7 linked regions of the Macaca fascicularis genome follow. The protein of the gene in region 6 interacts with the protein of the main gene of each other region in a biochemical or structural test. Links are inferred from orthologs where the notes say so. Each region holds a gene or a part of one and is shown on either strand. Other genes may lie near its edges. The genes, in order: STAT3, LDB3, TAMALIN, KIT, ENO1, SRC and MUC1.

Region 1 (4,047 bases), on a different chromosome or scaffold from region 6:
CTTGTGCTGTTTCTGGGGCTAGAATCTAGTCTCCTTCAAACACTCAGAAGGATCTGTGACTCCCTTCAAAGGTTAAGAGTCATTGATTTTTCTCACTACAAATTAATAAGAATAGCTATCCCTGGGGAGAAGGAATGATGGGGGTAGGGAAAGATTTTCATTTAAAATTTTTTACCTTTCTGAACGGTCTGCATTTTCTAAACAGGAACATGTATTAGTTTCATTGAAAAAAAAAATGTCAGGGGTTATCTGAGCAGTGAGATAATGGGTCCTTTATAGATTTTTGTCTTTATACCGGTTCGTATTAAACAAACACAAATATTAATAACATATTTTTAAAGACCCTAAAAAAATAAAAATTAAAAACCCTGATAGTATCAGCACATACACAGAAATCACTCCATTATGCAAAGTTCATCCTCTATTATGAAAGGCAAAATGTCTACATTTCCTATGAACCACTGGCTTCAATTCAGCAAAACTTGCATACCAAGTAGGCAAGGTGGAAACGAAAAAGGCGGAACATTTCATGTATTTCAATTCAGACGCATAAAAATGTCAAGCCCTACACGTATCAACTTTCGTATACACCGTCTTCTGCATTCGCCTGTACCGGCCAATGGGCTAGCTGGTCGGAGTTTGATGCTTGAAGTGATGGAACGGAGGACGGGGTTAAATCTACTATTTCTCCCCACGCACTCTAGTATTTACTCTATTTCCACGTCATGTTTCCGGGTGTGTGTGTCCCTGCTCACGCAGAAACTGAAGTTCAAAGCAGGCGGAGTCACTCATGTTCTTTTTGTTGTCCCCAGAACCCAATTCAGGTGTTGGGTCCCCAGAGGATCTGGAGATACCTGGGGACTGTCTAACTGGCTGATTCCCACGTGGTAAGAGGCTCTCAATCTCGCCACCACGTGGTGCCAAGGGCCGGGAAAAGGGAGAGCGGACAGGAGGGAGCTGTATCAGGGGCATTTAAAGTGCCTTGACGTCACGCACTGCCAGGAACTCAGCTGAGTTTTCAGCAGGACATTCCGGTCATCTTCCCTCCCTCCCCCCGGGCTTCTGTGCCCAAGTCCTCGGCTCTTCCCTCGCTGTGGCGGAGGGAGGAGCACCGAACTGTCGGAACAGCCAGCACAGGGCCGTATCAGTCTTCTCTTGGCTCCGCCCTTTCTCCTAGCTGCTCTCTTCATTGGTCAGTGGGCGGGGCTTTGTCGGTACCGCACACGCACTGGGACCTCTGGGTGGCCGAGCGAAATGGCCGTTCATGAATTATGCATGACGGCGTGCCTCGGCCAGGCTGGGGCTGGGCGGGGATTGGCTGAAGGGGCTGTAATTCAGCGGTTTCCGGAGCTGCGGCGGCGTAGACCGGGAGGGGGAGCCGGGGGTTCCGACGTAGCAGCCGAGGGAACAAGCCCCAACCGGATCCTGGACAGGCACCCCGGCTCGGCGCTGTCTCTCCCCCTCGGCTCGGATAAGCCCTCCGGCCTGAGGGAGCCCCGTCGCCCGCCCCCGGCGCACGCGCAGCCCCGGCCTCTCGGCCTCTGCTGGAGAAACAGGTGAAGGGGGTGCAGGGTGGGGCCGTCGGGGAGGCCTGGGGACCTGGGGGCGCCGCCGCGGTTGGGGGCCTCTGGGACCTTGGGGATTTTGTGATGGACGCTGCAGTGGGGCGGGGAGAGATGAGGAGACGCGGAGGGTCGCCCTGAGGGAAGACTCTTCGGGATGACAGGAGCGGGCCTCGGAAGGGACTCGGGGCGCTGGAGGGAAGTTTCGTTCTTCGGAGAAACAGTGAGAACGCGCCCGAGGGGGCACCGTGGGGCGAGGGCGCACTCGGCTGCGGCGGCAGGAGTGAGGGACAGTCCCCCGATTTCCTGCTCCCTGGAGCCCTGGGGACGTTCCGGCCGCCGGAGCGACTGTCACGCCGGCGGGGATCACCGGCGCGGGTGGGGGTCGGAAAGCGCCTCCTCCCCGCCTGGCCGGCGGCTCCCTCTGAGCCACTTCCTCCGCTTGCCCTGTTCCCGCTCCTTCAGGAGCCAGCTGTGCCCTTCTGGAGGCAGGAATAGGTGTGTCTGTCCCCTGCAGCCTCACGGGCTGGCTGGTCGCGGGTAGGCTTTATTGCATAAGAATCAAGTTTCCTGTAGGGAAATTGACAGACCGGTACTCTTTCTAAATTCCCTTCCATCTTTTTCTAGGTTAAACTATGCTCCCCTCACGCCCCCGCCATGTAAAAAAGAGGGGAAAAAAAGACAAAATCCCCGTCAACCCGTCAAGCCAGCTCTAGAGAGATAAATAAATCTCTTGGCAATGTTCTTTTCCAAATACCTGGTAAAGTCGGCCAGAAGATAAATAATTGAGCCATTGCGTTTACTGGATTGTGGTGTTGCTTAATTGCATAGGACGGAATGAACCAATCGAGAGTGGGAGTTCTGTGTCTCAGAGCCAAGATCTTGGGTAAATGCAGAGGAGAGGGAAACAAAGACAGGCTGGCCTTGACAAAACCATGTGTGCTAAGTTTACCTGCATTTAGGGGGGTGTGGTTGCACTGAAGTTAACAAGATTCAAACCGTCGCCCAAGTTGGTATTTCCATGTTTGATACACATCACCCTGTGCCATATCAGGTCGTTGTAAGTGTGGTGACAAAATCAGTGGTTAGTCATTGTTTTTTGTTAAAAATGTGTATAGTGTGTACCTGCTGGTCTTACTGTATGTGCAACTAAAGGTTTACGTAGTCTGTGCATGGGTTGTAAATTTTTGGCTGGCTGTGCTGATAAAGCATTGGGCTTGAATAAAGCAAAGCAGAAAATCATCTCAATCTTTTATATGTGGATTTAGACTGTGCTATGACTTGATTCAGCCAGTTTTCTATTTTATTTTATATTAAATATGTCTGTGTTCTCTGAGTCAGCACATTTATTTCCTTATTACATGTTCCAGACGGGAGTGCTAGCCCAGTTTTTGTTCAGTTTGCACAGTGGGATGGGGAAACAAGTCTGGAATTAAAAAAAAAAAATGTTTTAGAGGTTGGAGCCTTGATTTTAGTCTCTGTATTAGCACATCCATCACAAAGAACCATTAGTAAATTCATGAATCTTTTGTTTTTTATGTAGTTCATTTGGGAAGAATAATCACTTAAAAATATCCACAGTGCCAGGCATGGTGGTGCACACCTCTGATCCCAGTTACTTGAAAGCTGAGGCCGGAGGATTCCTTGAGTCCAGGAGTTGAGTCTGGTCTGGGCAACATGGTGAGAGGCCAGGAATTGGGTCTAGAGTCTAGTCTAGGCAACATAATGAGAACCCGTCTCTAAGAAAGAAAGGAAAGGAAAGGAGGAAGAAAGGAAAGAAAAAGAAATACCCACAGCACAGTTATGAATTGACCCACAAAGGACTTGTGAGGTAGGTAGTTCACATAACAATTACTCTAATATTGTAGATAAGAAAATTGAGGCCAAAGGATCAAGACACTTGCCCAAGGCGGCAGAGTGCCATAGTGGTGGAATTTGTGCCGCCTTCTGTATATTTTGTGAAAAGTATCAGTGAAATTCTTTTTTTTTTTTTTTTTTTGAGACGGAGTCTTGCTCTGTTGCCTAGGCTGGAGTGCAGTGGCGCAATCTTGGCTCACTGTAACCTCTGCCTCCTGGGTTCAAGTGATTCTCCTGCCTCAGCCTCCCAAGTAGCTGGGACTACAGTTGCGCACCACCACGCCCGGCTAATTTTTGTATTTTTAGTAGAGACCAGGGTTTTACCATATTGGCTAGGCTGGTCTTGAACTCCTGACCTCGTGAGCCGCCCACCTCCGTCTCCCGAAGTGCTAGGATTACAGGTGTGAGCCACCGCACCCAGTATCAGTGAAATTCTAACATATATCTGAACAGTAAAATACCACCAACAGGCTGAAAGACTTTATGGGAGGTAAATATTCAATAAACACGTGAAAAAAGAAATACAAATGGAGCTTGCTTAGATTATTTTTCTACCTAATTGCTATGTCTAACTTGGGAAGTGAGGAACTGTTTTTGGTCAGCATAATTTACCATCAGAATTCAGCTA
Region 2 (4,263 bases), on a different chromosome or scaffold from region 6:
CTGGCCATGGACTGCTGGCCTCCTGGGCTGGGCTGCGTGATATAGGATGAAGGAGGTGATTAAGCGGGGGAAAGGACAGTCTTCCCGGCTTCTTCCGCTTGATAGTTTTGTGACTTTGGGCAAGAACAAAACAACCCCGTAATATGGGTGATCGTACCTTGCACCTTGCATGTGCCAGGCCCCAGGAGTGAGGCTGGAAGCTGAGAAATGACTCATACCTAGGCCTCTACTGACTCCTCAGGGTCCAAGCCAGAGCTCTCCAAGAGGGCCAGCAAGCAGCCAACCCAGTTGCCTCCCCTGAGCCTCAGTTTCTCCAACCAAGGAGCCAGAGTGGGCCTTGATCTATCTCCAGACCACATAGGGGCCTGAGGTCTTTCTTGGGGAAGGGGTTGGCCCAAAGACCACACTGGCAGAAGTCCCAAGATGCTTGGGCCCCCCACCCAGAACACACTGTCTCTGGGGTACAGGCTGAACATGCCACACGTGCTTCCCCCTCCGTGCCCCTCCTGGCCCTGTGTCTAGCAGCTGAGCAAATGGCGTCTCCTCCCTTCTCCCTGCCCCCTGCCATTCCTGCGCAAAGGGCACGGGGCCTGGCGTGTGGCACTGGCAGCTGGAGCTTTCCATGCTGCCGTCAAGTTTTCCAGAGCACAAATAAGACAGGAGAGCCAGGAATAACTGGCTGGGCCCCCAGAGGGTCTGGAGGGGATGGGCCTACCTCAGACCTGCTTTCAGACCCTGTGCCAAGGGGTGCAGGCAGAGGGCCAGCTGCCCAGGACCAGGGCTTTGGGAGGCTTCTGTGGCCATTGGGAGCCCATTATCTGGCATGCATCCTGTAAGAATCAGCCCGGGCTCCAGTGTGGCCCGGGTCCACTCCTTGTGTGACCTTGGAGAAGTCATTTAACCTCCCTGAGCTTTGTCTCCTGTGGGTCCAGGTGGCAACTTCTCAGGATCCCAGGGAGTGAAGGGCGCATGCTGAGGCTGGCTATGCCCGGAGCTGCTGCTATTATGATCATTTTTATGGCTGGACAACCCTGGGCCAGTCACAGACCAGCTGCAGGCTCAGTTCAGGCCAAGCCACCTCCAGGACCCCACACTGGATAAAGCACAACCCCAGAATCCTGGGCAGGGACCACATGGCTGCAAAGCCCCTGCCCAAGGGAGCTCAACCCCTGGTCTTCTGAGCAAGAGGATGGGTACCACGGAGCAGGAAGAGCGAGTGTCTCCGCTCTCCAGAGGACACAGGAGCAAGGAGACCACAGCATTCTCACCAACCTGGCTAGTCCCCCTTCCTCCCCCTGGGGGGTGCTGGGTGCCGGACACCCCTCCCCAGGGGCTATATTAGCCGTGTGAGTCACGGTGGACCGGCTGGGAGGCCGCAGGCGGGCGGGACAGTGTAGGGTTACAGTCCATTTATGGGCGCAGCCGAGGGCAGATATCAGTGTCGATGGCATTCGCTCCCAGCTATTCTTAGGAGCCTCTCAAGAGCTCCACGCAGCCCAGCTGGGCAGCAAGGGACAGAGCAGGCAAGGCCGGGGGGCAGGGGCAGGGGCAGGGGCAGGGGCAGAGGTGTGGACCGGGCAGGCGGAGTGCCTGAGTGCCCTCTCACTCAACCCTCTCTACCCTTTGTCTGCAGAGGCGGCCGCTGACAGCACCAGCATGTCTTACAGTGTGACCCTGACTGGGCCTGGGCCCTGGGGCTTCCGTCTGCAGGGGGGCAAGGACTTCAACATGCCCCTCACTATTTCCCGGGTGAGTGCACCCTGCCACAGCCTGGCACCCGACGGGGCGGGCACGCTGTGTGTCTGTCTGTCTGTCCTTTCTGAGCCTCTCAGAAAGCAGAGCATGCCCCATCCCCTGGGACTGGCCTGGTCCTCTGGTCTCAGCCACAGCTATTTGCTCACAGGAGCCCGCCGGCCCGTTATGCATGTGAGACACCATGAGCAGGTGGTAGGTGTTTTTAGCAGAGAAGAAAATGCTGAGTTTTCAGGCAGGCAGGCAGGTAGCTGGACCGAGTACAGCGCCTTCCTGATCCCTTCACTGTTAGAGTGGGCTTAGGGTGCCCCCAAGCCTTTAGCATTTCCCTAGATGTGGGCAGCTGCTTTGGGAAGGGAGCATTCCCAGCATGGAGAGGGCAGGTGATGGGCAGTTGGATAGATGGACAAACAGGCTGCTGACCTTGGCTGTCCTGCTGTCAGAGCGTGGGGCTGGGCTGGACTGAGTACTGGGCACCCGCTCCATCCCAAACTTGAGACACCAGCACCCTGGCTCATGGGGCTGGGCGGTCCTCCCCATTCACCGTGGCTGCTTTGTCTGTCTCACGACTTGTTCCCCGCAAGCGCTGGGGCCTGGTGAGATGGCCCCCTGTCCTGCAGTGTCTGTGATGGGGAGCAGCATGGCCTAATGCAGATGACACAGAACATCGGGTTGTCTGAGTAACTCTACTGCCTGGCTGGAGACAGCAACACCAGAGAGGCAGAAAGCTAGCCATGCTCCCAAGGAAGCACTCCAGGAACAGGGACTGACGGGGGAACAGCATCTAGACCGTAGTAGGCGCTCCGTCAGTATTTGTCAAACAAAGAGACTCCCCGGCAAGGCACTGGTAGACCCAGGGCTGAAGACCCCAAGGCTCAGGATGAACTGTGAGGCATACAGGGCAAGGACAACCCTGCCTGGTGGCTGAGCCCCTGGCCGTGCTGTTCTGGTCACAAGGCAGGAGCGGGAGGCTCCCAGGCTGTCACCAGAGGGTAGTGGGTGGGCAGGGGTATCTGGGCTACTGCCCCACTAGGGGAACAAGGGGACAGTTTCTTCTCTGGGGCCTTTGAGACTTGCCTTGGGCCTGGGGGCTGGAGGAAGGGGTTGGAGGGGAAGCACTGAAGTGGGCAAGGCCTGAAGGTGCTTGGCAGAGGGACCAGGGAGCCTGGGCAGAGGGTCAGGAGCCAACGCCACCACTGGAGAAGTAGTCTCTGTTTTTGGTTCCATGGGTACTTGGGGGAACCCCAGAAGTAGAAGCCCCACCCAGGGATGCTGTGAGAGCCTTATAATAGCCATAGAGGCCACATGCTTCCAGGGTGGGTGCTGGCCTGGCTCTGGCACAGGGAACAGGCCCTGCCCTCCATCCTTCAGTTGGAGATGTGGCTTGTTCTAACCTGGAGACTCCACCCCTCCAGATCTACTGCCCTGGAGACCACAGGGTCCTGGAAACCCACAGCTTTGCACACTTTGCATGAGGTGGCGACCTGCGGGCATGTGAGCCCCAGTGGATTTCCCACTGCCCTGTACAGCTCCCCACCCCCATGCTTGCAGGACTCCTTCCTGTACAAGGTGGAGCCTCTGTGTGCTCTCTCATGGGCCCTGTGGCCTCCCCTGCCTGAGACTGAGCCCACATCTCCCCCAGCTCCACCATCTCCAGGCCTCCTGCTGGTGCTCCCTGCCCTATCCCTATGGGTGCAAATTGGCCACTGGGCTCACTGGCACTCAGGATAGCCAATGACTTCACCCAGGGTCTATGTGCCACCTGGCCCCAGCCAGCCAGGGGCTTAAATGGCAGCCCAGAGGCCTTAAGCTAGATAACAGGAGGAATGTCCTTACTCCGGGGAGGGGGTATGCAGGGATGTGCTGGATCCAATGACTGGGGGGACTTTTAAAAATAGAACCCGAAGCCCAGGCAGGGCACTGGGGGATGGGCACGATGGCCTCTCGGCTTCCTTTAGGGGCATACCCCAAATCACCTGAGCTATGGAGCAGGCTGGACTGGGAACTGGAGCCCTTCCCGGGGCTTGGAACCTCTTGAGAAATTTTGGTGGTGGGCTGCTGATAGCCTGGGCTTGTGTCCTGGTTCCGTGCCGCTGGCAGGGCAGGCCTTGTGGACACAGCCCTGCCATCCCACCAGGGCTGTAGGATTTACTGCTGGGGCTCGCAGGGCCCTTCTGCACCAGGGACATCCCCCTACGGGGGAGGCATGGCCAGAGCTCTCTGGAGGAACTCCACTCCCACCCCAGCCAGGACCTGAGCCTGTGCCATAGGGCACCATAGGCAAGAGTGTGTGACCCTGTGGGGTGGGCAGGCAAGCGAGGCTCGGATTGTTACCTCACTTCAGAGCCTGGCAAACTGAGGCTGGCGTTTGCTCACAGGACAGGGATGGCCATGGGTGGATCTCCTGTGTCCTCTCACCCCAACTCCCATGCTGGCCTGCTCACCCCTCTGACTGGGACTACTAGAGAGGCACTGGGGAGACCTGTCCCCTCTCAGCTGCAGGTATGTGCT
Region 3 (4,233 bases), on a different chromosome or scaffold from region 6:
AGGGCCCAGCCAGTACCTGGCACAGAGCAGGGCTTAAATGTTGGATAACAGCACAGAGTGGTTAGATTGCAGGCTCTGCAACCAGGCTGTCTGGCTTTGAATCTCAGCTCTGCCGCTGAGTGACTTAGGGCAAGTTACTTATCTTCTCCGGGCCTCAGTTTCCTCATCTGTAAGGGAGGATAATGGTGCTTATTTCGTAGGGTTGTTATGAAGACCAAGTGAGTTAATGCATGTATGTAAAAGGACACACAGAACAAACAGTGTGCATTGCACATGGTAAGTGCTCAATAAATGTTAACTGTGAAGGCATAACAGATTTGGGAAGACTGGGGGAGGAGGGGACAGACAGGGGCACCGCATTGCCGCCTCTGCTTCTTGGTCGATGGGTGCTGGGACATGGAGTCCCCAGCTTGTGCTGCTGACGCCCTGTGGTGGCTAGCCGCTCTTTAGACACCAGACGCTGCCTTCCACTTCCTCCTCTCACTTCTTATTCGGGCACCACTGACGACAGAGACTTCGGCTGGGCCATTCCCGCCTCTCCTACCGCCTGGCAGCCATGGTAACAGCCTGGGGGATGGTCCCTACGATGGGGTCAGAGAACGGCTGAGCATGGCCATCCCCCCCGCAGCCCTGAACTCCGATTCGGCCTGGGCTCATCCCAACCTCCTGAGTCAAGTCCATAGTAAGCGTCTGTCTGCTGGGAAGGGGGATCTGGGCCTGGCATCAGGAGCTGAGGAAAGGTGTGTTCAGCAGGGATCACTCAAGCCCCTCGGAGGGGATAGGCCAGAATTAAGCCTACTGCTTTCAGGGTTTCCATCTCTTCCCTTTCTCCTAGACGTGGGAACAGGGGGCAGCCTCTTTCAGCTCTTCTGGGGCAGCTGTGTCAAGGGAAAATCCTGGGCCCTCTCACTCCCTGGGGGCTTCTGTGCAGAGTTCAGGGAGTCTCCTCCCTCCTCTGTCCGGCCTCCACCCCTACTGCTGCGCAGCCCCGCTGCCTCTCTCCCTGCCCTAGAGTCTCCTGCAGCCCCCTGGATCTCCTTGACTCTCCCCACCTCCCTGACTCCCCAGGCTTCCTACAGTGACCTCTTACCGTGCCCCGCTCCATGAATCGCCAGAGCTATCCTTACCTAAATGTCAAACCTTGCTCAACGTCCCTTCACAGACCCCTCCAGGTATCACGCAGCCCCGAGCCCCGCCCTGGGGGCCTCATCCCGCCCCCTCGCGTCCGCTGCTCGGTTTCCCCCACCGAGCGCCCAGCTCCCGCAGTTTCCCGGGCCGTCGAGCGCCGTGGGCGGGGCTCCAGGGCGGCTGCGCCCCGTGGGGAGGGTCCTGCGTGCTGGGGGCGAGGCCACCCGAGGCCGCTCCCCGCCCGCCCCCAACCCCGCCCCCCTCTCAGAGCCTATAAAGGGAGGTGACGGAAGGCTCGCCCGGCTGGCATCCCCGAGCGGAGCCACCGCCGTCTCCACCCGGCGCCCGGCGCCGAAGCCATGACCCTCCGCCGACTCAGGAAGCTGCAGCAGAAGGAGGAGGCGGCGGCCACCCCGGACCCCGCCGCCCGGGCTCCCGACTCGGAAGTCGCGCCCGCAGCTCCGGCCCCGACCCCGGGACCCCCTGCAGCAGCCGCCACCCCTGGGCCCCCAGCGGACGAGCTGTACGCGGCGCTGGAGGACTATCACCCTGCCGAGCTGTACCGCGCGCTCGCCGTGTCCGGGGGCACCCTGCCTCGCCGAAAGGTGCGTCCCCCGCCCGCCTTCAGGACCTGCTTAGCCCCACTCCGTCCCCCTACAGGGCCTGCTGACCCCGCAGTGCCCTCTCCTCGGCGTCCGCGGAGTCCCCCACCCACCTTCTTCCCCGCTGGGTGCCTCGACTCCCCCGCGTTCCCCGCTGCTCCGAAGACTGTGGCCCTCGCCTGCACACCGTGCCCAGGCTCGGTGGCTCTCAACTCCTCGCCCTATACGCGCCGCCCCATCGCGCCCCCTCTCTCCCTCCTTGACTCCTCCCGGCACCCCCCTTATCCTACTCGCTCCATCTGGCTTTCTGCTCCCCATGCCCCGCCTCCTCGTGGCCAGGTGTCCTGAATCCCCAGGATCCCCTCGCCCCAGGGGCAGAGACGGCCCTAGACAAGTTGAAGGTCTGAGAGCCCCCGGTGGGAGAGGTGGGCCGGTGGCCGTGCCGCGTGCGTTCTCACCCTGAGGAAGTGCGTGGGGCGCCGCTGACTCCGGAGAGCACACCCTTCCGAGGGGACTCCCCGATTCCTGGGCTCGGGGCCTGCCGCCTGGCCCCACGTCTGATGTTCGGGGCGCGAGGGCCACAGCTCCCTGGACTTCTGCCGGAACCGGACGTAGTGGGAGGGGTCGCAGGGAGCCCACGGGGCAGGAAGGATGCGGGCCGCGCCTACCTCGGAGTCTCCCCTCCGCCAGCCTCTTCCTCTGGCCCCAGGGGACCTGAGGCTCAGAACCTACACACCACCAGGTTAAGGAGAGGGGCCTGGTGGCCTTTCCTCACCCAGCCACCCTCCTTTGCCCCTGGCCCCCAGCTAGCCCCCACACAATGAACAGCTTGTTGAGAATTTGCATTTTATGAAAATCATGTTGAAAGACAAAGGGGTCTCTCTGTGCTGCCCAGTCCTTCCTCCCTGGCCATTTGGGAACTGTCCCCACCCCTGAGGCCAATCTGGTTCTGACCCTTCCCTTCCTTGCCTTGGGCAGCTTGGGGGGAGGGTTAGCAAAGGCACAGACCAGAAAGGCCCTGGGCTGTGCAGGCTCCAAAGGAAAGGGCTGCTCTGGGACTGGACCTCCTCCAAGGACCAAAAAGTTAGGGAGGGTAAGAGACTAGTTTATCAAGGACCCTGAAGAGACAGGAACCTTCATCTCTCATCCTTCCCCCACCCCCCTGCCCCAAAAGAACTCCCGATCTCGCTCCTTTAGTGAGACTTACTGACAAGTTTGACATCTAAGATGTTTTGTCCCAGAAAGCACAAAATGTATGACAATGGAGAGAGACCCAGGTGTAGCTGGGCACAGCTGGTCACCTGCAGCTGGGATCCACAACTGGTCCCTGAAACGGGCTGTACCTTAGGAGACCTGGCACCTATGTCCCCACATTCTGGCTGGGATTGCCAGCCCTTCAGGCCGGGGTCCCTGACCCTAGCCCTCCCAAGCCACTGTCTGTAGCTGAGAAATTAGATGGAGAGACCCAACTGGCAGAAGGTCCTCGGAGCACCTTGATAGGTGAGCCCAGGGGACACCTATCCTCTGAATCCCACTGGGGAAGAGCCCCTGCCTCAGCTTTGGGAGTCTGGATGGCCTGAGCCTCTACAGACATGGGCCCTCGGGATGGAGACCATTCTAGAATAATGATCTCCCCACCCACTGCCAGTGTGGAAACCAACAAGGGCTTAGAGGTTCATGGATCTGGAACCCAGGAGGATGGTTGTGTCCCTGCAATCTCAGGTATGAAGGTAAGGCCGTAGAGAAAGTTGGGGAGTGGTGCCAGTAGTGACACTTGGCAAATAGTTGTACCAGCACCAAAGCAGGTGTGGATGTGGAGTTGCAAGAGGCAAACAGGAAGTGGGTCGCTGTGTCCAGGGTAGCACTCTCAGCATCTGCTCAAGGACAGTCCTGCCTCACCTGCTCCTTCTGACCATCTTCCTGCCCAGGGCTCAGGATTCCGCTGGAAGAATCTCAGCCAGAGTCCTGAACAGCAGCGGTGAGTCACCAGCACCCAGCCCCTGCCATGGTCCAAAGGGGTGAGGTGCTGGGTTGGGCGGTGCCAGGACAGCATCTCAGCCTAGCAAGGGTAGTCATTCTCCTAGCCTTTAAGCATGGCTCCCCCGCTGAGAGTGAGGGGCAGGTGGGGGTGTGGGCTGTGTGAAGGGGGTGGCAGAGAAAGGAGGTAGGGACTTTTGAGTCATTAGGTGCTCTTCAACCCACCCCCAGTCCCTGCCAGTTACCCCTCCCTGGGGAGATCTGGATGAACGGATGTGGGAGGTGGGAGGGGGTGTAGGCAAAGCCTATGGGGAATGTCCTAACCCAGGCCTCCTGGGCTCCCCTGAGCCCTCCCAACCTTGGCAAACCCCATGGGCCCAGACCTTAGCCAGGCTGTGTCCAGCTGCTTGGGGCTGGCTACCCCTGCCTCCAGAATGTCAGTCCTCTTCTGGTCCCAGCCTGTGGCAGCCCTCTAAGGAGGGATCTGAGTGTGGGCAGAAGTTTCCCTTCTCTACTCAGTTTCCCT
Region 4 (3,500 bases), on a different chromosome or scaffold from region 6:
GGCATAGAGAACATTGTAGGAAAATGTCTCTAGACAAAATTGTTTTTAATTCCTTTATTGATTTTGGAACTACATAAATGATCCTTCAATTCCACCACCAGCACCACCACCACTTACCTTGTTGTCTTCCTTCCTACAGGGAAAACCCTGGGTGCTGGCGCTTTTGGGAAGGTTGTTGAGGCAACTGCTTATGGCTTAATTAAGTCGGACGCGGCCATGACTGTCGCTGTAAAGATGCTCAAACGTAAGTTCCTGTATGGTACTGTGTGCGCTTGACATCAGTTTGCCAATTGTGCTTTTTGCTAAAATGCATGTTTCCTATTTTAGCAAGTGCCCATTTAACAGAACGAGAAGCCCTCATGTCTGAACTCAAAGTCCTGAGTTACCTTGGTAATCATATGAATATTGTGAATCTTCTTGGAGCCTGCACCATTGGAGGTAAAGCCATGTCCAAACTGCCTTTTATTGTCTGTCAAGTTATCAGAACATGACATTTTAATATGATTTTGGCAATGCTAGGTTATAAAGTGCTTGGAAGATTTTTTACCCAGACTATTGTTCTCTCTTGCTAGATTTTGTTTTCCTTATTGTTCTTAAGAATGCAGGTTTTAATTTTATCATTATGGGGTAGAACAGCCCAGGACATATACTAGTTATTGTCGTGTTTGTAACATCAACAACATTGGCCTCTTGTATATCTTATCCCGACCAGAAGGCTTCTCTTATCTTGTAAGCTTTATATATTTCTTGATCATATTTAGCCACTGAAAGGGTTAATATTAATTTGCATACTATAATTTAAAATAGGCCCCTAAGCCTACTGGTTCTCAAATATACACCAAATGAGGCAAACATTTCACTTCTGTAAAAAATAAGTTTCCAATTCGAAGCCTTAGTTGAGGTTCCCATCGAGGATGTCTGTGATGTTCGCAGAAAGTATTTCAGTTGAAAGAAACAAAGATGTGTAAAATGAGCTGTTTCTAGAGATCCATGGTAAAGTTGACAGCTTTATATAATGTCTTCAAACAACCCCCATAAATGTTGCTTCACCACATCATGAATTGTTCATGAGAAAATTTCTTTCCTAAGTTAATTAGTTGCCTGTTACTTCCAAATTACAGTTTTAAACATTCATAACACCAAAATTTTTTTCAACTAGTAGTGCTCAGAACACAGGTCATTTTAGGTTTTCACTCACTTTCCAGTCTCGTCCCAGCTGGCTGCTCCATGTGACTGATTTTCCCACTATGCCGCAGTTTGTGCCTTCGTTATTTCCATAATAACGTTACAGCGAGTGTGTGAAGCCCTGCTGTAAACAGAAGTGAATCAAAGGATTCACGTAGGAAGCTTGATAATAGTAGAACCTTTGAAAGCAGTAACTTCTGTCTGTCAAATCAGCAATCACGCTTGGCCCCAAATACTAATGTCATTTGGAAATTCAGGTTAAAAGAGACTTGCTTGTTTTATGTTACTCCACATAATGCTGCTTTTTTGATAAGCAGTGTTAATATATAGGATTGTATTGGGACTAAGTAGGCTTATCCACTGAAGCTGAATATTAATGGCCATGACTACTCTTGGGTATTTTTATGGGAGGCAGAATTAATCTATATATCTCACCTCTTTCTAACCTTTTCTTATGTGCTTTTAGGGCCCACCCTGGTCATTACAGAATATTGTTGCTATGGTGATCTTTTGAATTTTTTGAGAAGAAAACGTGATTCTTTTATTTGTTCAAAGCAGGAAGATCATGCAGAATCTGCACTTTATAAGAATCTTCTGCATTCAAAGGAGTCTTCCTGGTAAGACTGATTTACATAAATAGTTAGCTGTTGACAGGCAGTTCATGGGGTCATAAGGGTTTGCAATCAAGGCTGATTCTTTAAAAAATGAACTGAGGTACTCTGAGGTATGAAATCAAAATTATTAAATCATTTAAATGTGATTAACAGTTTAGAAAGTTCAAATTGTGTTTTTAAAGATTCAAACTGTGTTAAACCTAGATTTTTGCTGATTTTTAAAAAATGCATTTTTAGTTTTTTTCTACACTTTAGTTTCACGCAACTGAATGAATTCTATTTCTGTTTCTCTTACGGTTCTGTCCTGCATGTATTTCCATTTATACCGTTGAGCTTGGTACTGTATGCATGTTTCCAGTGAGATACTGTTTATAGGGGAAATGCTAAAGCCTCTCAAGTTGCCACAATAAAGTCCCTTTAAAACCTTTAGCAGAATGACAAAGAGCTCTGAACTTATCTCTACATGTAGGCTTTTTGCTATTGACCTCTGGATTATTCCTATATACCTTGCCTCTTGCCCCTTTTAATTCATCATGCTATTAAAAGTCGTAACTATTCCAGCACGTTTTTAAAAATTCTGGACATTATTTTCATCTCTTTCGTCATTGATGCCATTCTGAATTTGAATCATGTATAAAGAGCTTCGAGTTTGATTTACAACCAGAGAAGAATTCTTCTCATACCTTGCCTATTCTTTCTTTGGAAATGCTGTTAAGAGCCACCATTTGAGAAGACTTCCTGGATGTACCCAGTCCAACAGAAGTCATGGTTATTTCACCCAGTCCCCTATACTGTATATTGCTGCAGTTGTGTGGTAGATTTTTCCTAACCTTTTTATGCACTTTATATCCACTGCATCTTGCGATGACAAGACATTGCCTCCTGAACTCTTAACACCAGGCCCTCAAGGAGACCTCAGTAAATGTTATTGATGGGCAATTACCTCTTAAAGCCATTTTCTGTACCTCTGACTGAAGTTTAAAACCACAGGTGAAACTTTTATGTTTTTTTAATCCTATAAACTTGAGTAATGTAAAGTGGTAGTAGAAACTGTACAAAACCACTTTTTGTTAGTTTCTCCTGGGCATGTGCTCATTATATGAAGAAACCCAATGAGCCATTTTGCTTCTTTCCGAAACCTTGGCCCTATATATATCCTTTAACTTTCTGATATAATGGCCTAAATTGTTCAATCCTGTGTGATGTTCTTTGTGCTTTGGGATCCCATATGGGATTGGAACCACCAGCACACTCTGAAGGAGATTGTTGTCATGGTGTTTCTATGCTAATCAGAAGCAGGAAGTACTAGAAATCTTGAAGAGTCTCCAGCCAAATGTTGCAGACTGAAGAGGTCCAGATGGTTCAGAAAATCATCCAAATTATTGGTGTTTATCTGAACCAACTTGATTTTTTTTTAAAACCTTTTTCCATCAGTCACTATATGTTAACGATCTCTGCCTCCCCCATAACACATCTTGGAAGCTCTTCTTTGTCTTTCTTTCATCTTGTCTCCTGGGGCTCATTTAGAGAGTCTGAGGTGATACAGGATAGCATATTTGGCTCTCTGTCTCCCATTAAATTCATTGTGTCAAGAGATGGGAAATTTCTAACCTGAGTCCTCTATATGATTAAACACAAAAAGGACACCTAGTTTCTGGGCATGGACCCCAATATCAAATATTAAAAAGTCATATCTTACAG
Region 5 (3,500 bases), on a different chromosome or scaffold from region 6:
CAGCCCATCAGTTTCCTCTCCTGTAGAAGTCACAGTCCCTATCCTGTGTACACACAGAGCCTAAAATGAATATTCCCAGCTCACAGGAAGCATAATACATCTCTAACAAGTGGCTATTCTAATTCTGAAGGCTTGGTTCCCTCGCCTGTCTAATGGAGCACAGACCGCTGCTGGCACCTGAGCTCCTTAGCTACACAAGAACCTCTGTGAAGCCCTGTGTACGTACAACTGGGGGGAAGCCCCCTGATGAATCCCCCACGGGAGCCAGAGGTTCAGACACACCCTCCCCATCCCCAGCCAGCCAGATGCTCCAGCTGCCATGCTACAGGTCGGTGGCAGGAAAGGAAGATGGCACTCCAGGAACACTCACCTGGGTAGTCCTTGATGAAGGACTTGTACAGGTCAGCCAGCTGATCAGGTGAGATGTACCTGCTGGGGTCATCGGGAGACTTGAAGTCCAGGTCATACTTCCCAGACCTGAAGAACTCGGAGGCTGCTACGTCCATGCCAATGACCACCTTATCAGTGTAGCCAGCTTTCCCAATGGCAGTCTTCAGCAGCTCCAGGCCTGGGAAGAGATGGTGGCAACAGGTTTGGAAAACAGGTAGGTTCCCTTCAACAGCTGTTACACATGGACTGTAACACAAAGGTCAAGAGGTGTTCAGGCCCCAACCAGTAGTTTCAACAACGTCAGTTACTTTTTTTCTGCTTTGGGGCAAGAAACCATGGGCCAGAGCTCCTGGTGTAGACTAAATGGGAAATTCAGCACAGCTTCCAAGAAAGTAGCCTTTCTCCCTGACAAATGCTCCCAAATTTAGTGCCCAGGAACAGCTGTCCTGGCCAAGATACAGTTACAGTAACCAGCTGAGATCAGCTGTCTCAAGACACAGGCCTTAAATAGAGCTGAAGCGGGATCCAAGAGAAAGCCCAGTGGAGGCAGCCCTGGGTGGCAGGATCCTCCTGCCAGGCTGTGCTGTTGAGAGTTCAGGCTCAGGGTCTGCCATCCATGGCTAAGCTGTCCTGCCAGCAGGACAGATGGACAGACACCTGGCTCCCCAAGCTATTAGGTATTGCTTGAGCCCAGGAGGCAGAAATTGCGCCACTGCACTCCAGCCCAGGCGACAGAGACTCCGTCTCAAAGAAAGAAAAAAATAAGTAAAATCAAATGAAGCTCCCCTTTCCCTCCTTAAAACCCTGTTTGAAGGGTCTTGATCTTTACAAACTACAGGTGGAATGAAAACCTTTTCCACAGAGGCAGGTGTGGACAACCCCTGCACAGAGGGAGTTGGTGCTGCAGGGCTGGGTGGGTGGGTGGGGATTCCCCAGCGCCTTTACCTTCTTTATTCTCCAGGATATTGGGAGCAAACCCGCCTTCATCCCCCACATTGGTGGCATCTTTCCCGTATTTCTCCTTGATGACATTCTTCAGGTTGTGGTAAACCTCCGCTCCAATGCGCATGGCTTCCCTGAAGTTTGCTGCACCGACTGGGAGGATCATGAACTCCTGCATGGCCAGCTTGTTGCCGGCATGAGAACCGCCATTGATGACATTGAAAGCCTGGGGAGAGAACAGAGAAGCATGGCACCGGGCCCAGAGAGCCCCACAGGGCAACAGGCCCCTCTGGTCCTACCATCCCCATCTAGTTCACAGATGAGCCCAAGACTTGCTCCTTGAGGAGCATCAGTGGGGTCAGGGTGGCCATGAAATGCTCACCAGGTCTCTGACTCATGTTTTTAGAGACAGGATCTGACTATACTGGTCTTGCCCAGGCTGGTCTCAAACTCTTGGGCTCAAGTGATCCTCCTGCCTCAGCCTCTTGATTAGCTGGGACTACAGGTGTGCACTACTGCAACCAGTTCATACCAGGTCTATTTTGATAACTGCAAATTCATGATCATCAGGAGAAACGCTAGTGACTATGTCAGCTAATGCTCACAGCCTAGCAAGGAAAGTACTGCTGTCATTTCCTACCCGAGCCTCCACTGCAAATGAAGGACCTGGGGCACAGGCAAGTTGAATTACCTGCTCAAGGTCACACTTAACAAGGGGCAGAGCTGTGCTGGGAGAGTCACATGTGTTAAGAGATCAAGGCACAGGAGGTCTTGGTCCCCAAGAGCAAGCTGAAACCCCCAACTCCTTGCTTGGGAAGTTCCAATAAACCACTCACCGGGACTGGCAGGATGACTTCAGAGTTGCCAGCCAAGTCAGCGATGTGGCGGTACAGGGGGACCCCCTTCTCAACAGCACCAGCTTTGCAGACGGCGAGGGACACCCCCAGAATGGCGTTCGCACCAAACTTAGCTAGAACAGAAGAGAACCGAGTGGAATGAAGTCATTTCTGACTCACCGGCTTTTCTCCTGCCATCTCCTCCCCCATCACACTGTTACTAGAAATGCAAATAGCATTCCCTGTGGACTCACCACTGCTTTTCCCCTCTAAGAGAGAGCCCAGCTCTGGCCAACTATAGGAACTGCTGAATTCATTATAAGGAGCAAAGCTGTTCCGAGTAACCGAACTGACAGGCTATTATCACCTGGTTTTGCTCCTGATACTCCAAAGTGTGATTTCTCTTTTTTTGGTTTGAGATGGAGTCTTGCTCTGTTGCCCAGGCTGGAGTGCAGTTGCGTGATCTCGTCTCCCCCATTCATGCCCTTCTCCTGCCTCAGCCTCCCGAGTAGCTGGGACTACAGGCGCCCGCCACAAGGCCACAAGGCCTGTATAAATTTTTTTTTTTTTTTTTGAGACGGAGTCTCGCTCTGTCGCCCAGGCTGGAGTGCAGTGGCTAGATCTCAGCTCACTGCAAACTCTGTCTCCCGGGTTTACGCCATTCTCTTGCCTCAGCCTCCTGAGTAGCCAGGACTACAGGCGCCCGTCACCTCGCCCGGCTAGTTTTTTTGTATTTTTTAGTAGAGTCGGGGTTTCATCATGTTAGCCAGGATGGTCTCGATCTCCTGACCTCGTGATCCGCCCATCTCGGCCTCTCTAAGTGCTGGGATTACAGGCGTGAGCCACCACGCCTGGCCAAAAGTGTGATTTCTTAAGAGTGACGCAAAGAAATGGGAGGAGACGACAGGCTCATTTAGCTTGTCACTAAGATCATGGACCTCTTCCTGAAAGTTGTTAAAGTCTTTAGGAGACTTCATGATCTTCCCCAGTAAAGATGCCTCCTCGGGCCACTCACATTTATTTTCTGTTCCGTCCATCTCGATCATCAGTTTGTCAATCTTCTCTTGTTCTGTGACGTTCAGTTTCTAAGAGGGAGAGGAGAGAATGAGGGGTTGGTGTCACTCTTATCTGCACAGCCTTTGCTCCCCTACCATGGAATCTGACTTTGGAACTATGTAAAATAAAAATCAATTCTGTGATGTTTGTTTTATAAGCAAAAAAAGTGGAGGACAAAAATCAATGGTGAGACAAAAAACTGCCTTCTGCTTGCTTTGATGGTGTTTCATTCACCCAACAATGAAACAGAGATGGACGCTCTCAGACACAATGCTT
Region 6 (4,274 bases):
ACTATACGACCAGCACTCACCATCTCAGCAATATTGATGTCAGTAGCATCTATCATCTGCTGGGTGCTTTTGGGTTGGGAAGTGGTTCCTGTTGGTGTTCTAAGACTGGTCTGGGGCCATGTATACAGTTGGTAGTCAATAAATGCTTGCTGTCCATTAATGATGATTTGCAGGAATTAAGCAGTGAGTTGCTGCTTTACCAACAAAGAATGTTTTAAGCAAAATAATTTGCACAAAGAGTCACTTGTCCACCAGGCCAGACCCGCAACTCCCAACTGCATAATCCTGGAGCTTGCCAGGGTTGTTACCCTCGTTTTACTGATGAGTACACTGAGGCCCAGAGAAGGCAGGTTCACATAGTCACTGAAGGGAAGAGCTGGAACTTGAACTCTTGTCTGTAGGTCCTAAGTCAGTGTGTGCTGCCTGGCCAACTGGGCAGTGCCTGCTCTGTGCTGGGCATGGGCCAGGCCTTGGTCACTGCCTTCAGGGTGGGGACAGACACACTCAGAATGGACTTGGCACGTGCCTCCATCAGGGTGTGTCAGGAAGCATGTTGTGGAGAAGGTGGCATTTACTCTGGACTTTGAAGAACAAGGCGAGGTAGCCAGGGACAGGGGCTGAGCATTCCTGGCAGGGGTTACAGCCTGAGCAAAAACCCAGAGGGGTGGTTAAAAATAAAGAGCGCTTCAAACGCTCAATAATGAAACCATTGTGCTGGCCACATCCTCCTGAGAACCTCAGCCACTGAGCCAGGCCCTTGAAGCCCGCGGTAGCTTCAGGTGCGAAGCTGCATCTGCCTGCAGAACCCTTACTTGTCTGAGTTGCCTCCTCTCTGATAAGAGCGTGTAGGGTATGAATGAGAATGAGATTTCACATGTGCTGAGCGGGCATCACCTCATTTCATCCTTACGTGCGTCTTCTGGGGGCTGTGATATCTTTAGCCCACTGTTCAGGTTGGCATACTGAGGCTTCTTACATTATCTGCAAAGTGGCAGAGTTGAGACTTGAACCTGGGTCTGGTCCAAAATCTGTACTTTTAAGCTCTCTGTCATCCCAGTTCTCGAAAAGCCCAGAATTTTCTGTTGAACTCCTGGGGATGAATTTAGTGATGTGCTGGTACATATTGAACAACCAGCTCTGTGGAAGAAAAAAGAGGCTTCATTGGTAGCGTATTCTGATGTCCAAGGGGTAAATACTCCCACTGTGGCTGACATGGAGCTAACCAGTGTGACATTCTTGAATATGGACTTGGGAAGAGATGAGCACAGTCGGTTCTTGCAAGTAGGCAAGGGCCAGCTCCAGCGTGTCACTGGGTGACTATACCTGCCTCCCCCCGAGCCCCGTACGGCCAGTAAAGGCCTTTAGACATGTCTAAGGAATGGAAGAGGGCTGAGAAACCTGCTTCTCCAGCCGGGGGCCCGCCTAGCCCTGAGAAGCTGCGGTTAATCTTTAAGCCAGCCTTGCAAACAAGGGCAGCCATTTCGCCTGGCTTCTGCTGTTGACTGGCTGTGGCACCTCAAGCAGCCCCTTTCCCCTTTGGCCTCAGTTTATCACCGGAAGAGCTACTATTCATCTAGCACAACCCGACCATCCTCACACTGGTCAGTTTCAGCCTTCCCAGGAATCTTCTCTGGCCACGTTCACTCCGGTTTTACAGGTGAGGGGGCTGGGCTGGGAAGCTGATGGACTTGTCCACCCCACAACAGAGGGGCAGCTAGCCTAGATGCGAACCTAGATCAGTGTAGAGTAAGGCTTTGCTCATTCCTGGTCTCCTGGAAGGTATTTTGTACCCAGAGGTCTTTGCCTTCCACATTCTAGGGTGCTCCTCCCGGCTCCTCTCAGTGGGGACCTTTGCCCAGGGAATAGAAGCTTGGCAAAGGCTTCTATTTGTCTTTGACCTGGCTGGGCCTTAATTTCCCATCTGTGAAATGGGAGAACTTTCAAAGAAGGAACATGGAGGCAGGTGTGATATTTAAAGCAGGACCCAGGTCCACCTTTCCCTGTGCTAGGATTCCAGGACAGGTGAGGAGCCAAGGGTGGGGTGCCCAGCCCCAAAAGGATAGCCCTGGAGCCTGTGCCAGGGGGTGATGGGGAGTCTTTGTGGCCTAAAGCAGCGTTTCCTCAATGTCCCGTTTTTCTGCTACACTTCCTGCCCTGGTTCAGAGATACTTAGCCTCTTTACTTACTTGGAAGTGTGAGTGCCACTCCGATGCCCTGGCCAACCCCTCCTAAGCAGTAATAACTGGAACTAGGGTACTTCCAATGGGCTGCCAGGGATGTTTTTTCCTTACGCACTTTTTAAAATGAACCCACAACTATTAAAATAAAGGTCGCTCCTCCCCACCCTGTCCCTCCTGCCCCAGCCCCCACTTTGAGAAACTCAGGTCAAGGTTAAAGTCCAGGGCCTGGTTCTTGTCAGTGCCTCAGTTTCCCCATCTGTAAAGTGGGGCGATCTTCCGCCACTCAGGCCAGGTGGTGGTTAGGATTAAACCCTGAAGTCGACCTGAGCACCTTAGCCTGGCGCCTGGCCCAGAGCGGGCGCTCCACGCCCGCTGATATTATTACTAATTGTGATTTCGGGAGAGGCAGATTTGGGGCGTAGAGGGTGGGTGGGTCGAGGAGGGCATTTTGGCCTGGGGGCGGATGGGGCCCGCGGGGTGGGACGCCCTGGCGGAGTGGGAGGCGGGGCCTCTGTGCCCGGTGTCCCCACCCCGCCCGGACCCCGGCCGTGCCTGGGTCTCTCCCGGGTCACCGGCGGGGAATCCGTCCCCGCGCGCTTCCTCCTTCCTCCTCCTCCCGGCTGCCTGCCGGGCCCCTCCTCCCAGCTCGCGCGCTCCCTCCCTCCTCTTCCCCTCCCCGGGCCGCCGCCGCCTCCTCCTCCTCCTCCTCCTCCCTTTCTCTCTCGATCTGTCTCTCCCAGCCCGGAATCCATTCCGGCCTGGGAGCCGGAGCGGCCAGGCCGCCGTCTGCCCTACCCGCCGGCCGTCCCGCGGTCCGCCCTTCCGTGCGTCCGTCTGCCGGTGCGCCCGCCCGCCCGCCGGCCCAGGTGAGCGCCCCCCGCCCCTCCGCGGGCCCCCAGTCCCGGCCAGCGCGGGGGAGCCCCCGCCCTGGACCACCTGGGTCGGATCGCGGGCCCGCGGGGGCTCCTGTCCACCCCCCAATTCCCACCCCCCGGGCCGAGCTGCGATACCCGAGCGCCGGGCGGGCGCACAGGGCCATGCCCAGCGCGGCCTTTTGTTGTGATGCCGCGGGGGGAGGGGACTGGGCGGGGGGACGCAGGGGTCCTGGCTGCGTGGGGACCCCCTCCAGCTAGTGCTCCCCATAGGATCCCCCAGAGAAGCGGGTGAGCTGGGCCCTAGCCCCCGGGCCAGGTCTAGGCCAAATCTGAAATCTGAGCCAGTCGGCGCCGCCTCTGGCTGGGCTGCCCGGTCCTGCGCCCCCCGGCCCAGGGTGGGAGGTGGAGGGGCTCGGCAGGGCAGGCTGAGGGGCCCCGGAGTCAGGGCGCCAGGCCGAACCACCAGGACCTCCCTGCCCTCTTGGGGCCTCGGGTAGGGCCTGGTGCTGCCGGCCTGGAAGGGACTGGGCCAGACTGCGTTTAGTCTCCACTGCCCACAGCCCCCAGCCTCGCCCCAGAGCAGGCCCAGCCACCAGCCGGCTCAGAAGTTGGCAAAAGTTTTGGGTGTTGGCCACCGGGCCAGGTCCACCTGTCTGCCTGGGCTGGGATTGGGGGTGGGTTTGAGTCCTGCACCAGGGCTGCCACTTGCCCTGCTGTGTGTCCTCAGACAACTGCCTGCCTCTCTGAACTGGGGTCCTCATTGGTGGCAGGTGGGCCTGGCTGGAATTGCTGGGCTGGTGGAAGGATGGGGTGAACAGAAGGGGCTCACCTTTGTGGTATCCTTTCAGCACCTGTGTCCTTCAGGTGGACTTAGGAGTGGACAGAGCCTGTGTGTGCCCCTGGGCAAGGCCTCCTGAACTTCATGGACTCTGTACAATTTGGGGCAGTGGTTGCTGGGTCACCTGGGGTAAGTCCAGGCCCAGCCACAGCCACAGTGCAGCTGGGATCAGACTTGGTTTCTAGGGTGGGCCAGGCTGGTCCTTTTGCAGACCCTCTTCTCAGCCCCCTGGCTGGGGAGTCAAGGCACTGAGGCTTCTTGTCTTGCCCAGTGACCTGGGCCAAGAGACTGCCCCACTAAGTCCCCATACGTGAAATGAGAATCCTCAGGTGAAGATTCTAAGCGCTTCTGCAGGTAGAGGCTTGGCATGTAGTAGATGCT
Region 7 (4,126 bases), on a different chromosome or scaffold from region 6:
TTCTCCTGCCTCAGCCTCCTGAGTAGCTGGGATTACAGGGCCCGCCACCACGCTCAGCTAATTTTTGTATTTTTTAGTAGAGACGGGGTTTCACCAACTTGGCCAGGCTGGTCTTAGAACTCCTGACCTCGTGATCCACCCGCCTCGCCCTTTCAAAGTGCTGGGATTACGGGCGTGAGCCACCGCGCCCGGCCCGATCTGCCTCTTAAGTACATAACGGCCCACACAGAACGTGTCCAACTCCTCTGCCCACGTTCCAATGTCCTCTCCCACATATCTCAGTGCCCTTTCCACATACCTCAGGACCCCACCCGCTTAGCTCCATTTCCTCCAGACGCCACCACCACGCGTCCAGGAGTGCCCCCTCCTAAAGCTCCCAGAAGTCCACCATGCTGTGCGTTCCTCCCTCCCTGGCCACGGTAGTGACCCTTCTCTCCCGGGCCCTACCTCCCTCTCGCGGGCTCTCGCTGCCCCACTTAGGCAGCGCTGCCCTTACTCCTCTCCGCCAGGTCAGAAAAGCTCCTCAGCCGGCGCGGTCCAGCCCCGCAAGGCTCCTGGTGACCACTAGAGGGCGGGAGGAGCTCCTGGCCAGTGGTGGACAGTGGCAAGAAAGGACCCTAGGGTTCATCGGAGCCCAGGTTTCCTCCCTTAAGTGGAAATTTCTTCCCCCACTCCCTTCTCAGGAGAATGCCAAGGAGGGAACCCAGGCTGCTGGAAAGTCCGGCTGGGGCGGGGACTGTGGGTTTCAGGGTAGAACTGCGTTTGGAACGGGACAGGGAGCGGTTAGAAGGGTGGGGCTATTCCGGGAAGTGGTGGGGGGAGGGAGCCCAAAACTAGCACCTAGTCCACTCATTATCCAGCCTTCTTATTTCTTGGCCCCGCTCTGCTTCAATGGACCCAAGGAGGGCAGGGAAGTGGAGTGGGAGACCTAGGGGTGGGCTTCCTGGCCTTGCTGTACAGAACCTCAACCTAGCCGTCTTTGTTCCCCATTCCCACCTTAGTTGTTGCCCTGGGGCTAAAACTAGAGCCCAGGGGCCCCAGGTTCCAGACTGCCCCTCCCCACTCCACCCTGGAGCCAGGGAGTGGTTGGTGAAAGGGGGAGGCCAGCTGGAGAACAAATGGGTAGTCAGGGGGTTGAGCGATTAGAGCCCTTGTAGCCTACACAGGAATGGTAGGGGAGGAGGAGGAACAGGTAGAAGGTAGGGAAGGGGGAGGGGGCGGGGTTTTGTCACCTGTCACCTGCTCCAGCTGTGCCTAGGGCGGGCGGGCAGGGGGGAGGGGGGCCAGGGGGACTGGTATAAAGCAGCAGGCGCCTGTGCCCGCTCCACCTCTCAAGCAGCGCCTGCCTGAGTCTGTTCTGCCCTCTCCCCACCCAGTCCACCACCACCATGACACCAGGCACCCAGTCTCCTTTCTTCCTGCTCCTGATCCTCACAGTGCTTACAGGTGAGGGGCACAAGGTGGGGAGTGGGCTGCCCTGCTTAGGTGGTCTTCGTGGTCTTTCTGTGGGTTTTGCTCCCTGGCAGATGCACCATGAAAGGCAAGAATTCTGTCTGTGCCAGAAGGAGGGAGAGGCTAAGGGCAGGCTGAGAAGAGATGCTCCCCCCAAAGAGTGGGTGCCAGGGGCAAGCAAATGTCCTGAAGAGAAGTCTAGGGGGAAGGGAGTAGGGAGAGGGAAGGCTTAAGAGGGGAGAAATGCAGGGGCCAGGAGCTGAGGCCTGTGGGCAGACAGAAGGAGGCTGCTGCAGGGAAGGAGGCAGCCAACCCAGGGGCTGCTGAGGCTGCCCACTCCCCAGTCCTCCTGGTATTATTTCTCTGGTGGCCAGAGCTTGTATTTTCTTCTTGCTCTTATTTTTCCTTCAACCCAACCCTATTAGTTTAACTTATCACAGCTGCCACAGCCCCTGAACCCACAACAGTTGTTACAGGTTCTGGTCATACAAACTCTACCCCAGGCGGAGAAAAGGAGACTTCGGCTACCCAAAGAAGTTCAATGCCCATCTCTACTAAGAATGCTGTGAGTATGAGCAGCAGACTCTCCAGCCACAGCCCCGTTTCAGGCTCCTCCACCACTCAGGGACAGGACGTCACCCTAGCCCTGGCCATGGAACCAGCCACAGGTTCGGCTACCACCTTGGGACACAATGTCACCTCGGCCCCGGACACCAGTGCAGCCCCGGGCTCCACCGGCCCCCCAGCCCGCGTAGTCACCTCGGCCCCGGACACCAGTGCAGCCCCGGGCTCCACCGGCCCCCCAGCCCGCGTAGTCACCTCGGCCCCGGACACCAGTGCAGCCCCGGGCTCCACCGGCCCCCCAGCCCGCGTAGTCACCTCGGCCCCGGACACCAGTGCAGCCCCGGGCTCCACCGGCCCCCCAGCCCGCGTAGTCACCTCGGCCCCGGACACCAGTGCAGCCCCGGGCTCCACCGGCCCCCCAGCCCGCGTTGTCACCTCGGCCCCGGACACCAGTGCAGCCCCGGGCTCCACCGGCCCCCCAGCCCGCGTTGTCACCTCGGCCCCGGACACCAGTGCAGCCCCGGGCTCCACCGGCCCCCCAGCCCGCGTTGTCACCTCGGCCCCGGACACCAGTGCAGCCCCGGGCTCCACCGGCCCCCCAGCCCGCGTTGTCACCTCGGCCCCGGACACCAGTGCAGCCCCGGGCTCCACCGGCCCCCCAGCCCGCGTTGTCACCTCGGCCCCGGACACCAGTGCAGCCCCGGGCTCCACCGGCCCCCCAGCCCGCGTTGTCACCTCGGCCCCGGACACCAGTGCAGCCCCGGGCTCCACCGGCCCCCCAGCCCGCGTAGTCACCTCGGCCCCGGACACCAGTGCAGCCCCGGGCTCCACCGGCCCCCCAGCCCGCGTAGTCACCTCGGCCCCGGACACCAGTGCAGCCCCGGGCTCCACCGGCCCCCCAGCCCGCGTTGTCACCTCGGCCCCGGGCACTAGTGCAGCCCCGGGATCCACCGCACCCCCGGGCTCCACCGCACCCCCAGCCCACGATGTCACCTCGGCCTCAGACTCTGCATCAGGCTCAGCTTCCACTCTGGTACACAGCACCACCTCTGCCAGGGCTACCACCACCCCAGCCAGCAAGAGCACTCCATTCTCAATTCCCAGCCACCACTCTGATACTCCTACCACCCTTGCCAGCCACAGCACCAAGACTGATGCCAGTAGCACTCACCATAGCACAGTACCTCCTTTCACCTCCTCCAATCACAGCACTTCTCCCCAGTTGTCTCTTGGGGTCTCTTTCTTTTTCTTGTCTTTTCACATTTCAAACCTTCAGTTTAATTCCTCTCTGGAAGATCCCAGCACCAACTACTACCAACAGCTGCAGAGAGACATTTCTGAATTGGTGAGCATCAGCCTTTCCTTTCCCATGTTCCCCTGAAGCAGCCATCAGAACTGTCCACACCCTTTGCATCAAGCCTGAGTCCTTTCCCTCTCACCCCAGTTTTTGCAGATTTATAAACAAGGGGATTTTCTGGGCCTCTCCAATATTATGTTCAGGTATAGTTCTGGGTGTGGACTCAGTGTGGTGGTTGGAGGGTGGGTGTTGGTCATGACCTTAAGGAGGGACTGGTGCACTCAAGGTTGGGGGAGAGTCCTGAGCCAGAGCTGGGACCTGTGGCTGAAGTGCCCATTTCCCTGTGACCAGGCCAGGATCTGTGGTGGTACAATCGACTCTGGTCTTCCGAGAAGGTACCACCAATGTCCACGATGTGGAGACACAGTTCAATCAACGTAAAACGGAAGCAGCCTCTCGATATAACCTGACGATCTCAGACATCAGCGGTGAGGCTACTTCCCTGGCTGCAGCCCAGCACCATGCTGGGGCCCCTCTCCTTCCAGTGTCTAGTTCCCCACTTTTTCCTTAGTGCTGGCAGTTAGAGGGGCACCTCCTCTGGGAGACTGCCCTAACCACTGCTTTTCCTTTTAGTGCGTGATGTGCCATTTCCTTTCTCTGCCCAAACCGGGGCTGGGGTGCCAGGCTGGGGCATTGCGCTCCTGGTGCTGGTCTGTGTTCTGGTTGTGCTGGCCATCGTCTATTTCATTGCCTTGGTGAGTGCAGTCCCTGGCCCTGATCAGTGCCCACCCCCCCGCCGACAGAAAGCACTCC

The links.
Region 1: the proteins of SRC (region 6) and STAT3 form a complex in vitro, tested with the Homo sapiens proteins (3 studies listed by BioGRID). The link is inferred for Macaca fascicularis from reciprocal best matches to the Homo sapiens genes SRC and STAT3.
Region 2: the proteins of SRC (region 6) and LDB3 interact in a test that uses a peptide from one of them, tested with the Homo sapiens proteins (2 studies listed by IntAct, with this or other methods). The link is inferred for Macaca fascicularis from reciprocal best matches to the Homo sapiens genes SRC and LDB3.
Region 3: of the proteins of SRC (region 6) and TAMALIN, one has a biochemical effect on the other in vitro, tested with the Homo sapiens proteins (2 studies listed by BioGRID and IntAct, with this or other methods). The link is inferred for Macaca fascicularis from reciprocal best matches to the Homo sapiens genes SRC and TAMALIN.
Region 4: the proteins of SRC (region 6) and KIT form a complex in vitro, tested with the Homo sapiens proteins (3 studies listed by BioGRID and IntAct, with this or other methods). The link is inferred for Macaca fascicularis from reciprocal best matches to the Homo sapiens genes SRC and KIT.
Region 5: of the proteins of SRC (region 6) and ENO1, one has a biochemical effect on the other in vitro, tested with the Homo sapiens proteins (4 studies listed by BioGRID). The link is inferred for Macaca fascicularis from reciprocal best matches to the Homo sapiens genes SRC and ENO1.
Region 7: the proteins of SRC (region 6) and MUC1 form a complex in vitro, tested with the Homo sapiens proteins (2 studies listed by BioGRID, with this or other methods). The link is inferred for Macaca fascicularis from reciprocal best matches to the Homo sapiens genes SRC and MUC1.

The regions. Positions count from the first base shown.
Region 1 is NC_088390.1:63,447,410-63,451,456, reverse strand, and holds the start of STAT3 (signal transducer and activator of transcription 3), read left to right. Parts: upstream 1-1,247; 5' UTR 1,248-1,254; coding exon 1,255-1,556; intron 1,557-4,047. UniProt on the Homo sapiens protein: Signal transducer and transcription activator that mediates cellular responses to interleukins, KITLG/SCF, LEP and other growth factors. Once activated, recruits coactivators, such as NCOA1 or MED1, to the promoter region of the target gene.
Region 2 is NC_088383.1:59,967,723-59,971,985, reverse strand, and holds the start of LDB3 (LIM domain-binding protein 3), read left to right. Parts: upstream 1-1,463; 5' UTR 1,464-1,523; intron 1,524-1,633; 5' UTR 1,634-1,656; coding exon 1,657-1,749; intron 1,750-4,263. UniProt on the Homo sapiens protein: May function as an adapter in striated muscle to couple protein kinase C-mediated signaling via its LIM domains to the cytoskeleton.
Region 3 is NC_088385.1:58,841,959-58,846,191, forward strand, and holds the start of TAMALIN (protein TAMALIN), read left to right. Parts: upstream 1-1,433; 5' UTR 1,434-1,487; coding exon 1,488-1,733; intron 1,734-2,188; exon of another isoform or gene 2,189-2,328; intron 2,329-3,658; coding exon 3,659-3,708; intron 3,709-4,233. UniProt on the Homo sapiens protein: Plays a role in intracellular trafficking and contributes to the macromolecular organization of group 1 metabotropic glutamate receptors (mGluRs) at synapses.
Region 4 is NC_088379.1:79,167,226-79,170,725, reverse strand, and holds part of KIT (mast/stem cell growth factor receptor Kit), read left to right. Parts: intron 1-139; coding exon 140-244; intron 245-327; coding exon 328-438; intron 439-1,651; coding exon 1,652-1,802; intron 1,803-3,500. UniProt on the Homo sapiens protein: Tyrosine-protein kinase that acts as a cell-surface receptor for the cytokine KITLG/SCF and plays an essential role in the regulation of cell survival and proliferation, hematopoiesis, stem cell maintenance, gametogenesis, mast cell development, migration and function, and in melanogenesis.
Region 5 is NC_088375.1:225,992,734-225,996,233, reverse strand, and holds part of ENO1 (alpha-enolase), read right to left. Parts: intron 3,254-3,500; coding exon 3,184-3,253; intron 2,303-3,183; coding exon 2,169-2,302; intron 1,559-2,168; coding exon 1,336-1,558; intron 569-1,335; coding exon 371-568; intron 1-370. UniProt on the Homo sapiens protein: Glycolytic enzyme the catalyzes the conversion of 2-phosphoglycerate to phosphoenolpyruvate. In addition to glycolysis, involved in various processes such as growth control, hypoxia tolerance and allergic responses.
Region 6 is NC_088384.1:93,453,257-93,457,530, forward strand, and holds the start of SRC (proto-oncogene tyrosine-protein kinase Src), read left to right. Parts: upstream 1-1,474; 5' UTR 1,475-1,657; intron 1,658-2,930; exon of another isoform or gene 2,931-3,046; intron 3,047-3,903; exon of another isoform or gene 3,904-4,022; intron 4,023-4,274. UniProt on the Homo sapiens protein: Non-receptor protein tyrosine kinase which is activated following engagement of many different classes of cellular receptors including immune response receptors, integrins and other adhesion receptors, receptor protein tyrosine kinases, G protein-coupled receptors as well as cytokine receptors.
Region 7 is NC_088375.1:105,950,493-105,954,618, forward strand, and holds the start of MUC1 (mucin-1), read left to right. Parts: upstream 1-1,326; 5' UTR 1,327-1,388; coding exon 1,389-1,446; intron 1,447-1,919; coding exon 1,920-3,361; intron 3,362-3,460; coding exon 3,461-3,516; intron 3,517-3,664; coding exon 3,665-3,801; intron 3,802-3,946; coding exon 3,947-4,068; intron 4,069-4,126. UniProt on the Homo sapiens protein: The alpha subunit has cell adhesive properties. Can act both as an adhesion and an anti-adhesion protein. May provide a protective layer on epithelial cells against bacterial and enzyme attack.